2 linked regions of the Lepisosteus oculatus genome follow. The protein of the gene in region 2 purifies or fractionates together with the protein of the main gene of each other region. This does not show direct contact. Links are inferred from orthologs where the notes say so. Each region holds a gene or a part of one and is shown on either strand. Other genes may lie near its edges.

Region 1 (7,400 bases), on a different chromosome or scaffold from region 2:
AGCAAGTGTAAATGTTATTGTAAAGGCATGGGGGAGGTTTAGAAAGAGGAGGAGAAACCGGGGACGTTAGACAAATCGAAGGCCCCGCAATTTTCAGAGCGCCCCGTCGGTGTGTTATGCCATCGAGGACACCGAGGGTGGTGGGGGGTGGGGAACAAGCTCTTCTGCACACAAAGGGTACACAGTGTGTACAGGCGATTCCTTCACCGTGTCAGTGTGGGGCACTCCCTCCAGACTAAAGAGACTCAGTTCCTTCACCACGTCACTGTGGGACACTCCCTTCAGACTAAAGAGACTCAGTTCCTCCGGCCTGTCAGTGCGGGACGCTCCCTTCAGACTAAAGAGACTCAGTTCCTGCAGCCTGTCAGTGCGGGACACTCCCTTCAGACTAAAGAGACTCAGTCCCTCCAGCCTCTCAGTGCGGGACGCTCCCTTCAGACTAAAGAGACTCAGTTCCTCCAGCCTGTCAGTGCGGGACCCTCCCTTCAGACTGAAGAGACTCAGTTCCCTCAGCCTGTCAGTGTGGGACACTCCCTTCAGACTAAACAAACTCAGTTCCCTCAGCCTGTCAGTGTGGGACGCTCCCTTCAGACTAAAGAGACTCAGTCCCTCCAGCCTGTCAGTGTGGGACGCTCCCTTCAGACTAAAGAGACTCAGTCCCTCCAGCCTGTCAGTGCGGGACGCTCCCTTCAGACTAAAGAGACTCAGTTCCTCCGGCCTATCAGTGTGGGACACTCCCTACAGACTAAAGAGACTCAGTTCCTCCAGCCTGTCAGTGCGGGACACTCCCTACAGACTGAAGAGACTCAGTTCCTGCAGCCTGTCAGTGTGGGACACTCCCTTCAGACTGAAGAGACTCAGTCCCTCCAGCCTCTCAGTCTGGGACGCTCCCTTCAGACTGAAGAGACTCAGTTCCCTCAGCCTGTCAGTGGGGGACACTCCCTTTAGACTAAAGAGACTCAGTTCCTGCAGCCTGTCAGTGTGGGACACTCCCTACAGACTAAAGAGACTCAGTTCCTCCAGCCTGTCAGTGCGGGACACTCCCTTCAGACTGAAGAGACTCAGTTCCTGCAGCCTGTCAGTGTGGGACACTCCCTTCAGACTGAAGAGACTCAGTCCCTCCAGCCTCTCAGTCCGGGACGCTCCCTTCAGACTGAAGAGACTCAGTTCCCTCAGCCTGTCAGTGGGGGACACTCCCTTTAGACTAAAGAGACTCAGTTCCTGCAGCCTGTCAGTGCGGGACACTCCCTTCAGACTGAAGAGACTCAGTTCCTACAGCCCGCCAGTGCTGGACAGTGTCAGGCCCTTACATTTGTACCCACCTACACACTCAGACGCATCAGCAAAAACAAAAAAGCTGATCGTCTTTGCCTTGATCTGTATTTTTTTTTCCACTGCAACGTGTGTTTTTGTGCAAACGACCCGGGGTCTCTACGGAGCTGGGAAAGATCCCGTTTGGGAACCCGCGTGGCTTGGGCGCGCAGGGCATCGGGGAAACCGTGAACACACACACACGCAGACACAGACACCCAGGGCAGCATAGTTCTTGTCTCAGTACCGCAGCTGCAGGCAGGAATCTACGTCGAAAAGCGTCGAAACAACACAGCGGCGAGAGCTGTTTCCACGCGCCCAAACCCACACCGCGGGTACCAGCCAGTAACCGTCTCGTCTCGCGGGGGGGGGGACCTCCGATGGAAATCTGTGTGGCCGGGTGACAGAGCCACAGCGCGCCTCCACGCAGACTGCTCTCACGCCCCCGCGGGGCACCGAGAGGGTGAGACAACAGGGCAGGCGTGGGCGGCGAAAACAAAACAACATCTACCTGCCCGGCCGGGCCGCGCTCAGGAGGGACAGTCGACCCACCGAGACGGGCGCTGCTCCAATCAGAAACGTCTGTTTCCCCCCCCCCCCTATTTTTTTATAGCCCCAAAAACAAAACTGTCTGTGGTCACCTTTCAGAGAACCAATCAGCAGTGTCCCCTGCTTACCTTTCAGAGAACCAATCAGCAGTGTCTCTGGTCACCTTTCAGAGAACCAATCAGGAGCGTCCCCTGCTTACCTTTCAGAGAACCAATCAGCAGTGTCTCTGGTCAGCTTTCAGAGAACCAATCAGGAGTCTCTGGTCACCTTTTCAAAGAACCAATCAGCAGTGTCCCTGCTTACCTTTCAGAGAACCAATCAGCAGCGTCTCTGGTCAGCTTTCAGAGAACCAATCAGCAGTGTCTCTGGTCACCTTTCAGAGAACCAATCAGCAGCGTCCCCTGCTTACCTTTCAGAGAACCAATCAGCAGCGTCCCCTGCTTACCTTTCAGAGAACCAATCAGCAGTGTCTCTGGTCACCTTTCAGAGAACCAATCAGGAGTCTCTGGTCATCTTTCAGAGAACCAATCAGCAGTGTCTCTGGTCATCTTTCAGAGAACCAATCAGCAGCGTCTCTGGTCACCTTTCAGAGAACCAATCAGCAGTGTCTCTGGTCACCTTTCAGAGAACCAATCAGCAGTGTCTCTGGTCACCTTTCAGAGAACCAATCAGTAGTGTCTCTGGTCACCTTTCAGAGAACCAATCAGTAGTGTCTCTGGTCACCTTTCAGAGAACCAATCAGGAGTCTCTGGTCACCTTTTCAAAGAACCAATCAGCAGTGTCCCTGCTTACCTTTCAGAGAACCAATCAGCAGCGTCCCCTGCTTACCTTTCAGAGAACCAATCAGCAGCGTCTCTGGTCAGCTTTCAGAGAACCAATCAGCAGTGTCTCTGGTCACCTTTCAGAGAACCAATCAGCAGCGTCCCCTGCTTACCTTTCAGAGAACCAATCAGCAGTGTCTCTGGTCACCTTTCAGAGAACCAATCAGGAGTGTCTCTGGTCACCTTTCAGAGAACCAATCAGGAGTCTCTGGTCACCTTTTCAAAGAACCAATCAGCAGTGTCCCTGCTTACCTTTCAGAGAACCAATCAGCAGCGTCTCTGGTCACCTTTCAGAGAACCAATCAGGAGTGTCTCTGGTCACCTTTTCAAAGAACCAATCAGCAGTGTCCCTGCTTACCTTTCAGAGAACCAATCAGGAGCGTCTCTGGTCACCTTTCAGAGAACCAATCAGGAGTCTCTGGTCACCTTTTCAAAGAACCAATCAGCAGTGTCCCTGCTTACCTTTCAGAGAACCAATCAGGAGCGTCTCTGGTCACCTTTCAGAGAACCAATCAGGAGTGTCTCTGGTCATCTTTCAGAGAACCAATCAGGAGTCTCTGGTCACCTTTTCAAAGAACCAATCAGCAGTGTCCCTGCTTACCTTTCAGAGAACCAATCAGGAGCGTCTCTGGTCACCTTTCAGAGAACCAATCAGGAGTGTCTCTGGTCATCTTTCAGAGAACCAATCAGGAGTCTCTGGTCACCTTTCAGAGAACCAATCAGCAGTGTCTCTGGTCACCTCTGGTCACCTTTCAGAGAACCAATCCGGAGAATCTCTGCTCGCCTTTCAGGGGCTCAGTGGAGGGTGTCTGCGGGTTTCTCTCCTTCCTGAGGCACTGAAACTGCGTCGATCCGTTTGGGGTTTAACAGGTGTAAGGACATGATCGTCAGGAAGTCCGACCACAGTCTCACTCACAGTCGAAGAGAGATTTTCCTCGATGAGTCGTCTCTCCTCGGGCTATGAGAAACTCCTCCGACTCGATACCCAACCAAGAAACATTTCGCTTTACGAGCGTAACCGATTCCTAGAAAACTTCCGACTATTTTTTGGAGGAAAATACGTTTCCCCACAACTCAGCTTCTGAAACCTTTCGTTTCGCCCAGGAGGTGTGGAAAAGTGCGCCGGGGTTTCTAAACTAAGTGACGAACAGCCTAAATTAAAAAAAAAACACCAGTAAATGTTTCCTACAGGGCATTATCGGGAGTGATCGGCTTACTAGATATTTCTGAACCCTGGTGCGGTCCGTCTCTTCCGAAACGCACGTTAGAGAGCCTCCTCGTTTCGACCCTGAAACTGCCCTCTTTAAAGGGACCGAAGGGTTGCAACTCGTAGAAAAGATGCCTTAAAATGTCACGGCTCCGTCTCCTCCTCTCCCGCGTTCTCTGTAAGCCAATCGGGAGTGTCCATCATCGCCTATCTGTGAACCAATCAGGAGCGTCGGTGGTCTCCTCCGTGAACCAATCAGGAGCGTCTCTGGTCTCTTCCATGAGCCAATCAGGAGCCCAGTCCCGAGACTAAGGGGGCGTGTCTTCCGTGTCGCGGAAAGTCCTTATCTGCTAATTAATAATACTGTAGGTTTACCGAGGCTGTTAAACCACACCCAAAGAGAAAGAAAATCACGGACAAGATGATATCCTTCCATCTCGTGCTTAAATTTGGACACAAATGGGTCTTTGTTTCGAAACTGAAAAACATTTTATTACGTACAAACGTTTCACGGGATTCGGAAGTATTGAAGTTTTCGCCTCCAGGTGTCGTGCTCCAGGTCTCCAAGTGAACGTTTCGGTTATTGTTTTTTTTTTTACATAAATAAGGCATTTTGAAACGCACCCCGGGCAGCCCCCTCTCCCCACTGGAGCCCCAGCAGGTGTGTGAGCCCGGCCAGTACCTGGAGGGGAGACTCCTGGGAAAAACTGAGGCTGCTGCTGCTGGGAGAGGTGTGAGTGGGGCCAGCAGGGGGCGCTCTCACCCTGCGGTCTGCGTGGGGTCTTGCTGCCCCAGTATAGCGTCGGGGGGACAACATGCAAACTCCACACAGACAACACCCCAGCGCCTCAGTTGAACCTCTGCCTCACTGTGCTGCTGCTGTTGCTGCTAGCACCCAGACACCCAGACTCACACCACACGAGCTCATTATCTAGCGCGGGGGGGAGGTGCGGAACTGCAGCCCACAGCCCCCGCTACCAACAGGCGTGGGGCAGACACACCGTGTATAGCGCCGGACACGCAGCTACCCCGGATGTGGCGCGTCTGTCTGTACAGACCGATACGATTGATCTAGACGCTGCTGGAAACAAACAAACAACAACAAAAAAAAACACCGACAACAACTCCCTAAAAGCTGTGAACTCGACACGCGCGTCTTGTGCTCGCACGCAGTGAAACCACACGCGTGGGCGGGCGGTAGCCGGAGCGGCGCGAGGCGAGGGGCCTGGTCTGCGCTCCTCCCACACAGCCGCCCGAGACGGCAGCGCGAGCTGACCCCCACTGACCCCGGGCCCCTACTGTCACGGCCCAGCAAGACAAAAAAAACACGCACGTTTTTAAACCTGCAGAGACACGGACACCAGCTCCTCTGTCCCCACAGTCTCTCCCTCCCCTCCGTGTCTCCTTCTTCACCCGAGCGCTTCTTCCGAACCTCAAAACCCCCCTTTTTTGTGTGTTTTGTTTGGTTCTAAAGCGCCGGTCCGGTCCGGTCCAGTCCAGTCCGGTCCGGTCCCCCCGGAGGAAGAGGGAGATGATGGAGACTGGAAAAGAGCCAGCCGCCCCCGCCTCTCCTGCACAGTCCTCGTTCCTATGAACGGTTTCAAAAAGATTTCGTTGTACTTGAAACAAACAAACAAACAAAAAAAACCTCACGATCTTTTAACAATGATTCTATTCCTCCCAAGTGCTGTAGGTAGAAGAATGTTTCGCCCCCACCTCTCTCTCTCCGGGGCTCGGACCTGCAGGACAGTCTCTCTCTCCTCCCCCCCCGACCCGAGTCACACCCGCCCCCCCTCTCCGGGCAGGCAGGAGATCTCCGAGTAGAGACCCGGGGGCGGCGGCGCTGGCCCGGGACGCGGGCGCCCCCTCAGCACCGGCACCTCCACGGCGGCGTAGTCCGTCGCCCCGGCGTCTCCCTGCGAGGAGAGGAGACACACACACACACCCGGGGCGTGAGAAAGACCGCCCGGTCCTTACCGCCGCTCAGACTCAGTCCATGGACAGTGATGGACAGCAGTCCATCACAGGGCACACACACACCCTGGACAGGACAGCAGTCCATCACAGGGCACACACACACACTCACACACCCTGGACAGGACACCAGTCCATCACAGGACACACACACACACACACACACACACACACACACACACACACACACACTCACACACCCTGGACAGGACAGCAGTCCATCACAGGGCACACACACACACTCACACACCCTGGACAGGACACCAGTCCATCACAGGACACACACACACTCACACACCCTGGACAGGACACCAGTCCATCACAGGACACACACACACACACCCTGGACAGGACACCAGTCCATCACAGGACACACACACACACACCCTGGACAGGACACCAGTCCATCACAGGACACACACACACACACACACACACACACACACACACACACACACACACACACACACACCCTGGACAGGACACCACTCCATCACAGGACACACACACACACACCCTGGACAGGACACCAGTCCATCACAGGACACACACACACACACCCTGGACAGGACACCAGTCCATCACAGGACTCACACACACACTCACACACCCTGGACAGGACACCAGTCCATCACAGGACATACACTCACCAGCACCGCGACATTGCAAGACAGCCATCGCTGGCGGCAATAACACCACCGCCGGCCGGGTCACACGACCGGCTTTCAAGCGCGCCCAATAACAGGAGAAATAACGCTTTTAGTAAAGTACTCATACGACAAGTACTCAAGTAAGTACTCACGCTGCCTGCGTCGTTTGTAATAAATTTTTAAGTATTATAACGGCACGTTATTATATGCATGAAATGAGGTGGTCCGGGAAGACCCCTGTGTTGGAGCATTTTAAACCGGAGGTAAGGGGGGTATTCGCAGACAATTTCCAAGTGCACACATCTGAACGTTATTTTTATTGAAGGTGTTTCATCTTTTTTTCATAGCTCGAATTGATGTAGTCCTGTGCAACCCCCGACGGTCTTTTTCCGTCTTGACTTGTTAGACGTGCTCCTGTTTGTATTGCGAATGTTGTTATTGTGTGAAGCATAAATGAAAAAAAAAATAAATACATTTAAAAAAATAAAAAACCCAACTCACGCTGCCCGCGTCTTCTCTCCGGCCCCGTCGGTCCTCCGGAGACGCGTCCCCTGGGGCGGAGGAGCAGAAAAAAAAATTAAAACCAATTGAACACGATAAAAACCCAACACCAAACCCAGCCTCACAAAGCGCAATGGGCGCCGAGCGCCCGAAACCTCTCTGTTTCCCTGAAGACATGACGTTTCCCGGTCCCACAGGATTAATACCGTTTCATACCGGCTGCCCCGTGTTTCTACCACCAAGTCTAGAGTAACACCGGGTGAGAATCCCTTCCCCGAAATTCCTGGGACCGGATTTCGGAATATTTTAATATTTGCGTCTCTAAAATGGGACCCAAGTCTAAACGCGATAGCCATTTACATTTCCTAATATAGCGGACACCTCTAC
Region 2 (7,545 bases):
GAATATTCCCACCTGCGCATACTGGTCATGCATTTAAATCCCTTAACAGCACCACAGGAACACCTGGTTCTGTTCTCATGATTAACTGGGAATATAAAGTCTAGGCAAAGGATGTAATTTTCTGTGGGAAAGAGACATTCACTAGAATTCCTAAATGTAAGAAAGACAGATCTCAAACACAAGGCACCAGTCTTTAAAAGAAAACCTTACCTCTAGATCTGTTTCCATGTAGTCAAAGACCAGACTGATATTGGATTTATGTCCAAAAGCATCTAGAAGCTTAATGAAAGATGAAAAGTAATCATATTATAATGTACAGTAACCAAGAAAATGCAGATTACTATGTCTTCAAGTAATGTAAAAAAATCAACCATCTGGTCTGTTACATTATCAAGTTACATCAATGCTCCCTTAAAAAAAAGAAAAAATCAATTATTTTACACTGTTTAATTAGTATTCAATTAACTTTTTTCTTTGAAGGCATGCATAAGACATTGAAAGAATAAACAGCATTTGCTTAGGCACTGTTATGTCTCTTTCAATTCAGGACTGCTCTGCAATGCAGTTAAGCTAGCATGTCAAATTCAGTTCAGCTGCATATGCTTCTGAAACACCATGGAAAATAGATTTAAAATCTGTCATAGCATGATTTATAAACTGTATAATAACCTATTGCTTAAATAGAATGGATTCTGGAAATACGAAAACTATTCTGCATCAATTGTCAACACAAAACAAAACAGTGGTAATTCGTAGGTTGCTCCCAAAACGTTAGCACAAAAAGTAAAACTACAAAAGAACAGACACACAAATACAAATTACGTTAGAAATTAATGCTCAACTAAATACTTACTCCAATTATATTTGGGTGACTTAGCTCTTGAAGCAGTTTAATTTCTCGAAGGGCTGTTCGGTTAATACCTGTGCAAAGTGGGGTAATTGCATACATAAGAAAGCTTGATTTAAAATCTTACGATTCACTGTGAAACAACACTGGTTAAAATATTTGAACTATGTGCTGCCAAGCACTGAGGCAGAGGCTGTTGGGAAAATCATATTCATAGAATGGCACTTGAAACCATAACTAAATTAATTGCAACCCTTTGGCTATGAAGTGAAATGCTCTCTTCTACAACATACAGGTCTGCTGTAGTATTTTTTTTATTGCAGAAATGAAAGTCTTTTTTGTTGACAATGAACACAGACTTTAATTATGATTATACCTGATTGTATCAATTTCCAATTACTGTATGAGTTTAAATGTGACCAAACCATTGAAAGAATCTCTACAAAAAAATGTTTTCACTACCAATCACTTTGTAATAAATACCTTTCGGTGGAAAAACCCTCACTGAGCTTATTGTATGGCTGAGTACTATAAGTATTGTGGGCGATTTCTTCTGGGAGAATCATTAAAGAAATTATGTTCAATAAGGAAATTCTGAAATAAGAAATGCTGCATAAAAATGTATGGAGAGTAACAGAAAAGGGAAACAAAATCACAACAATAAGAATGAGTGTGAGAACTGTGATGCTGGTGACTTCTGGGAACAAAAATGTTTTTGTCATTGCCAGGTAATGTGAATGACAATTCTTGTGATGACAGATACAGAATGCCTAAGTGTCGATATCTACTGACAGAGAATGGCAAAGACATTAGGTATTGTTTTTCGTTAATTCAAAGATACTTGTGTGCGTGTACATGTTTCTAGACTAGATTTTTTACTGTAATACCATCTTGGGACATAAACCATTATTTATGCTCCTATATGTCGCGTCTTAACTTGTATCAGACTGTCTTAAACAATTAGAGCTTGACTGGATCAAGAAAGTGGACTGCTAACATTGCCAATGTAAGTAATAAAATGACCATTTCTCCCCATTCACTGCTGAAATTGTTCTATATGCTTGTCAAAGCACTGCTTACAAATCTATAGGTATACCATAATTAAAACTATTTTAGATTAAAGTTAAGGTTATTTAAACAACACCTTTAAAGGAGTTTTAAAGGTCTTCCTAAATCTTTCACAATTCTAACAAAATAATGTACCTTTCAGAAATAAATAAATAGGTATAACAGCATAATAAATGTAAGTATCCATCTTACCATCTTTGGCTTCAGCTCTGTGACCAACTTTAATCTGAAATTAGAAATTTAGAAATGCATCTTCAAAAAGGATCGTTTAAAGTGCGAAGTAATTCTGTTTGTAATTCCTGTTTAAGAAAAATTAAATTAGAATCTCAAGAGGACAATTAACACACGAAAACAATAAACGAAGTGTTCTGGATAACATATTTGCTTTTTCCACATGTACAATTAAACAGTCTCAAGGTAGACAACTTTGCATTTAGAAGACAAATTGCGAGTACTACAATGGAGCTATATTCAAAATGAAAAGAGTAAGCAACAATACCTTTTTGATCGCAACTATGGTGTTTGTATTCTTATCTCTTGCTTTGTAAACAGTTGCGAACTGCAAAGAGATGAGGTGATATAGATCAGGAAGCCATTCCAAAACAGTTATTTGCAACCAACAAGCAAAACATTTAATATTTGTCGTTTAAAAAAAAACAATTCTAAACAATAATATAAAAACAGCACCTATTTATCCTATTAACTATTTTCTATCCGATTTGTTCACACCAAGTGAAATTAACTACAGCAACCCTGTATCACACAACAATAAAAAATGTTTTTATTGCAACAGCCTTTCTGTAGGCTATGCAAATTCAAAAACATTTTCTTACGACACTAACAGTTTTTATGAATAGCGTGTAATTCTTCACAGAGACCTTTAATTTAATAGTAGTGTCCGCTTTCCTGCTACAGCTCAACTATATGCATCGATATATACTTCAGCTGTTGTTTTTTAAAACTAAAGAACTTTCCCTTTACCTGGCCCTCTCCAAGAAAATCAAGCTTTTCGTATCTCTTTGCTCTGGATTTCACATCCACGGCCATCATCTCTTCCTAACTTACAACTGTCACTAAGAGACCCAACTTCCTGCTGATGAACAGAAAACTGTTAATGCGTTTGTGCAGATCGCCATGTTTGTGCGTGCGCACTATTGTCACTGGCTACAGATCACAACTACTTCCAGGTTAAAAAAATCCGTCTTGTGGAAGATAGAGGGCAGTATTTTATGTTAAATAACATCAATCAACATTAATCTACTGATTGAGAACCCCTTCTTTAACATTTTATTTTTAATTTTAGCTCTTTTAGAAGCTAAAATCAATGTTTGAAGTGGCTTATGATTGCTTTTTACCCCAGTTTTCAAAGGCAGGGACTAGGATAGACGCTGTCATTGACCTTTTTGTTTTAAGAACCAGCGCAGAATAAACATATTAGGTGTAATCATGATATGGCAGTCTTTGATGCACACTTAAACCTCTAAACGGTTTAGTCCAAAATCAGACTTTAAATTTAAAGAAAACAGACTGAATGAGGAAGGCAGAATGTGCAAACAGCGTACACGAGGTCAGCAGATGGATACAGAGTCAATAGCAATAAAATAGAAATAAGGGATGGTTACAGTTCAAAAACATAATATTAAACATAAGCTGAAGAAAATACTTTAAAAAATAAATTCTAGAAGAGAACAGAAAATGTGGAGAAAAAGGAGTGTCATTAACATTGTGATTTTTGCATACCTGACACTGAGGTATTACTATTTTGTGGATAAAAATGAATAAATCACTGGAACATGATATTTTCACAGTTGGACTAAAAGAAATGAGGGATAGTATTAATAAATATTTAACCAAGATATTTCAACTCTAATTAAAGATGGGAGCTGCACCCACAGAAGGGAACATTTAGAATGAAACACCAATTCATAAAACAAAACTATAGGCCAATCAATCTTAATTTTGGCTGGTCATGGAAACAGTAGTGCTAACTGGAAGAATATTTGCAAAATGATGGCATTTTAAGAGACATTCAACAAGGATTTAGAAAAGGAGAATATTGTTTTACATCATGCTTAAAATTCTTTGCATATGCAACAAGGACAACTGATAAACTCGAAATCACACGATGTGATTTGGTTTTCAGAAAGCTTTTCACTAAGTCTCTCTAAAACAGTTGAAACTCAATCTGTAGAATTCTTGTCATATATCAATACAGGTTAAAAGCCAATTAACAAATATGAAGCAGTGAGTGATCCTAAAGTGAAAGAATTCTAGTCAGACTGATTCTTAAAATAAGTATAAGAATACTCTGGACACTACACTCAAAGTGTTTTACAGGTAATGGGGACTCCCCTCCACCACCACCAATGTAAGATAAGATCACTTTATTAGCCATATACAATTTCTTGCATTAGGAATTTGTCTTTTCACATACCCTAGCTTGCTCTCCAGGAGACACACAGGCACAGAGGGAGAAGTTCAAGGTAAGAGTGCAGGATTAGCTATTTATACAGCTGGAGCAGTTGGGGTTAAGGGCCTTGCTCAGGGGCTCAACAGAGTAGGATTCCTCTGCCAGCCTTAGGATTTGAACCAGCAACCTTGCTGTCACAGACACAGATCCCTAGCCACAGTGCCACCATTCCACCTGTACAACCGCACTTGGATGATGTGATGGCATCCATAGTGCGCAAGTACACTCACCACACACCAGCTAACAACGAGAACAGAGTGATGAAACCAATTCGTAGATGGGGATTATTAGGAAGCCATGATTGGTTAAGGCCAATGGGACACCCTACTCTTTTTGAAAAGTACCCTGGGATTTTTAACAACCACAGAAGTCAGGACCTCAGTTTTATATCTCATCCGAAGGGCAGCACCTTTTTACAGTATAGTGTCCCCGTCACTATACTGGGGCATTAGGACCCACACAGTCAACAGGGTAAGTGCCCCCTACTGGCCCCACTAACACCTCTTCCAGAAGCAACCTTAGTTTTTCCCAGGAGGTCTCCCATCCAGGCTCACACCTGTTTAACTTGAGTGGGTTGTCAATTGTGAGATTCAGGGTGATATGGCAGCTGGGAATTAAATGTCACATGGGTGACCCTACGTAGCTGGAAGCTTTGTATGAAGGGATCCGGGGATCCGGTGTTTATGACTATTGTTTTCAGGACTCAGGTCAGTATAGGAAAACAATAGAACAGCAAACAATGTTGGGGTATATAGCATGAATGTGGACGTTAAATCAAGGGAAGGTCATTGTACTTATCTGTGTACTTTACTTAATGTTATACCAAATGTATAAATCACCGGGTGACACAATTGTAAATAGCTAGCATGTCTGCTTCACAGCACCAGGGGCCCAGGATTCATTTCCTGGGGTGCTGTCTGTGTGGAGTTTGTATGGTCTCCTCGTGTTTGCATGGGTTTCCTCGGCGTGCTTTGGTTCCCTCCCATACTGACATACTGGTACTGTAGGCTTTTGGGTAAGTTGACCCTTGAATGAGTTACTTCTGTTATTGGTAAAGTTAGGGAAACAATAAAGCTAAACTGGAAAAATATTTGCTAAATAATAGCATTTTAGGAAACATTCAATAAGGATTTAGAAAAGGCTGCTATTGTTTTACGTACTATACAAAATTCTTTAAACAAGGACAATTGATTCCTTTAAAGCACATTGCATGTGTGCATGTTTGTGTCTGTGTGTGCCCTGTGTTGGACAGGCACCATGTCCAGGGCATATCCAGCCTTGTGCCTGTTGCTTGCTGGTTAGACTTGGGGTGCACCTGACATGGATAAGTGGATTAGAAACTGGATGGATATAAATTACTTTACCAAAACAAGAATCTTGCAGACTTGGAAAGAGTTCAAAGACGAGCTACAAGAATAACTAATGGTCTCTGGAGATTGAGAATGGAGATCAGTAAATATTTCTTATCAGCTGAGGGTAGAGTTGAGGGTGTCAGGAAGCTGAGGTCCAGATTCTGGGCTCCTTCAAGAAACATCTGAATTTACTGAGTTGCTACAATACCAAATGAGCAAAATGGTCCAAGCAACAACCACTTGTCAATCTTTCCTATATTCTTATCATACTAATGATGAATGAATAAAGGCATATAATGGAATGTGAAGAAAATGGAAGAAATTAGCTTTGCTTTGCCCAATACTGTTAGATAATTATTATTTGCATTCATTAAACCTGTTTATTTGGCAATTAAGTATAGCTTAGTCAAATTAATTCTAGTTTGAACCACTTTGAATCTGAAGCAAATGCATGTGATACCTTGTTAATATCTGTAATAAATTATTATTATTGCATCAACATAAAACATAAGGAAAGATGTTAAATACACATAACACATTGTTAATATGTGAAATAATTTGTTATTATTGTGTCAACATACAATCTTTGGGAAAGATGTTAGACTTTTTAAGGAACAAAAAGTTTCCATCATTAATATTATGGCATCCAGTAAATCACTATTCCACTAGGGGGCACTGTTAGTCTCTCCTTACGTCTGTCTTCGGTTGGAAACAGCAGTAGGTGTTATCACTGTAGGACTACACTGGGTTAAAGGGTACCATCTGCGTGAAATTCCTTCTGAGTGGCTCAGTTCTGGTCAGGAGAGGGCACCCACCCTACTTGTCACAATGTGAACTAGTGTTAACAGCTGCTGTCTTAGACATAGAACTTGTATGGAATAATAAAAGGAAATAAAAGTTAGCCTTGTGCATTTTTGCTACTAGAAAGAAAAACATAAAAAATGGTAAAATGTTGAAAAAGATTAATCCATATTTATGAATAAGTAAACAGAACATAATTTACATATGTTTGTCTTCAGTTTTAGTATCCTCTCTATGTGAAAGAAAGTATGCAGATGTGCTTAAGACATTCCCCTCTGATCCTGTATTAAAATATTAGAGTGCAGTGTCCTTGAATTCACCCAAAAAATCAATGATTATGTTAATAGATATACATGCTATGAATTCATTTATTTATAATGCAGAATTTGTAAATGTAACATACTGTATATGAAGATACTCAGAAAAATATATCTGAGTATCAAGAGGTACATTGTGGATATAGCTATCGTTTAGGAGAATTTTGCTGGTCTACAGACATCTGCATGGAGTACTGACCCACAGAAGACATGATGGATGGATGGATTAATATCCTCATTCATTTATTTCCTTTTTTTGACTTATATAATGTTAGCATGGCCAAAAGGGTTGGGCATCCAGTTGACCTTGGACCCTTAGAGCTTTTTTATCTCCTTACTAAGGAGTTTTTGGTTCCTCTCCTCCGTTGTCTTCTGGTCTTTTCTGTTCTGTATTCACAAAATGTATGGTTACTTACAGTATATTGTTAAGCGCCCTGGGGTAACCTTGTTGTGAAAGGTGCTATATAAAAATAAATTGAACGGAATTGAATATGTACATATTTACTTTTTACATGAATATCCTGTTTGTGAAATTAATAATGTTATTCTTATTTTCATTTTTTTTTACAAAGGTAATTTCTGTTCATTTAATGGTCCTATTTTGAGTCTTGCATGCAGTCTAACAGTTTGGAAAGAACAGAAAACTGAAGTTTATGGTGAGACCAGCTGATTGTGCTCATCTAAAGTAAA

Evidence for each region. Proteins that work in one complex are often made in the same cells at the same time.
Region 1: the proteins of cdk7 (region 2) and gtf2h4 purify together in Homo sapiens (affinity purification with mass spectrometry; 7 studies listed by BioGRID and IntAct, with this or other methods). This does not show direct contact. The link is inferred for Lepisosteus oculatus from reciprocal best matches to the Homo sapiens genes CDK7 and GTF2H4.

What each region holds. Positions count from the first base shown.
Region 1 is NC_090709.1:40,992,859-41,000,258, forward strand, and holds the start of gtf2h4 (general transcription factor IIH subunit 4), read right to left. Parts: upstream 3,082-7,400; 5' UTR 3,040-3,081; intron 1,965-3,039; exon of another isoform or gene 1,953-1,964; intron 1-1,952. Other genes in the region: uncharacterized protein, read right to left, coding at 5,667-5,804, 7,014-7,063. UniProt on the Homo sapiens protein: Component of the general transcription and DNA repair factor IIH (TFIIH) core complex, which is involved in general and transcription-coupled nucleotide excision repair (NER) of damaged DNA and, when complexed to CAK, in RNA transcription by RNA polymerase II.
Region 2 is NC_090698.1:41,758,998-41,766,542, reverse strand, and holds the start of cdk7 (cyclin-dependent kinase 7), read right to left. Parts: upstream 3,082-7,545; 5' UTR 2,966-3,081; coding exon 2,897-2,965; intron 2,475-2,896; coding exon 2,415-2,474; intron 2,142-2,414; coding exon 2,108-2,141; intron 922-2,107; coding exon 854-921; intron 280-853; coding exon 211-279; intron 1-210. UniProt on the Homo sapiens protein: Serine/threonine kinase involved in cell cycle control and in RNA polymerase II-mediated RNA transcription. Cyclin-dependent kinases (CDKs) are activated by the binding to a cyclin and mediate the progression through the cell cycle.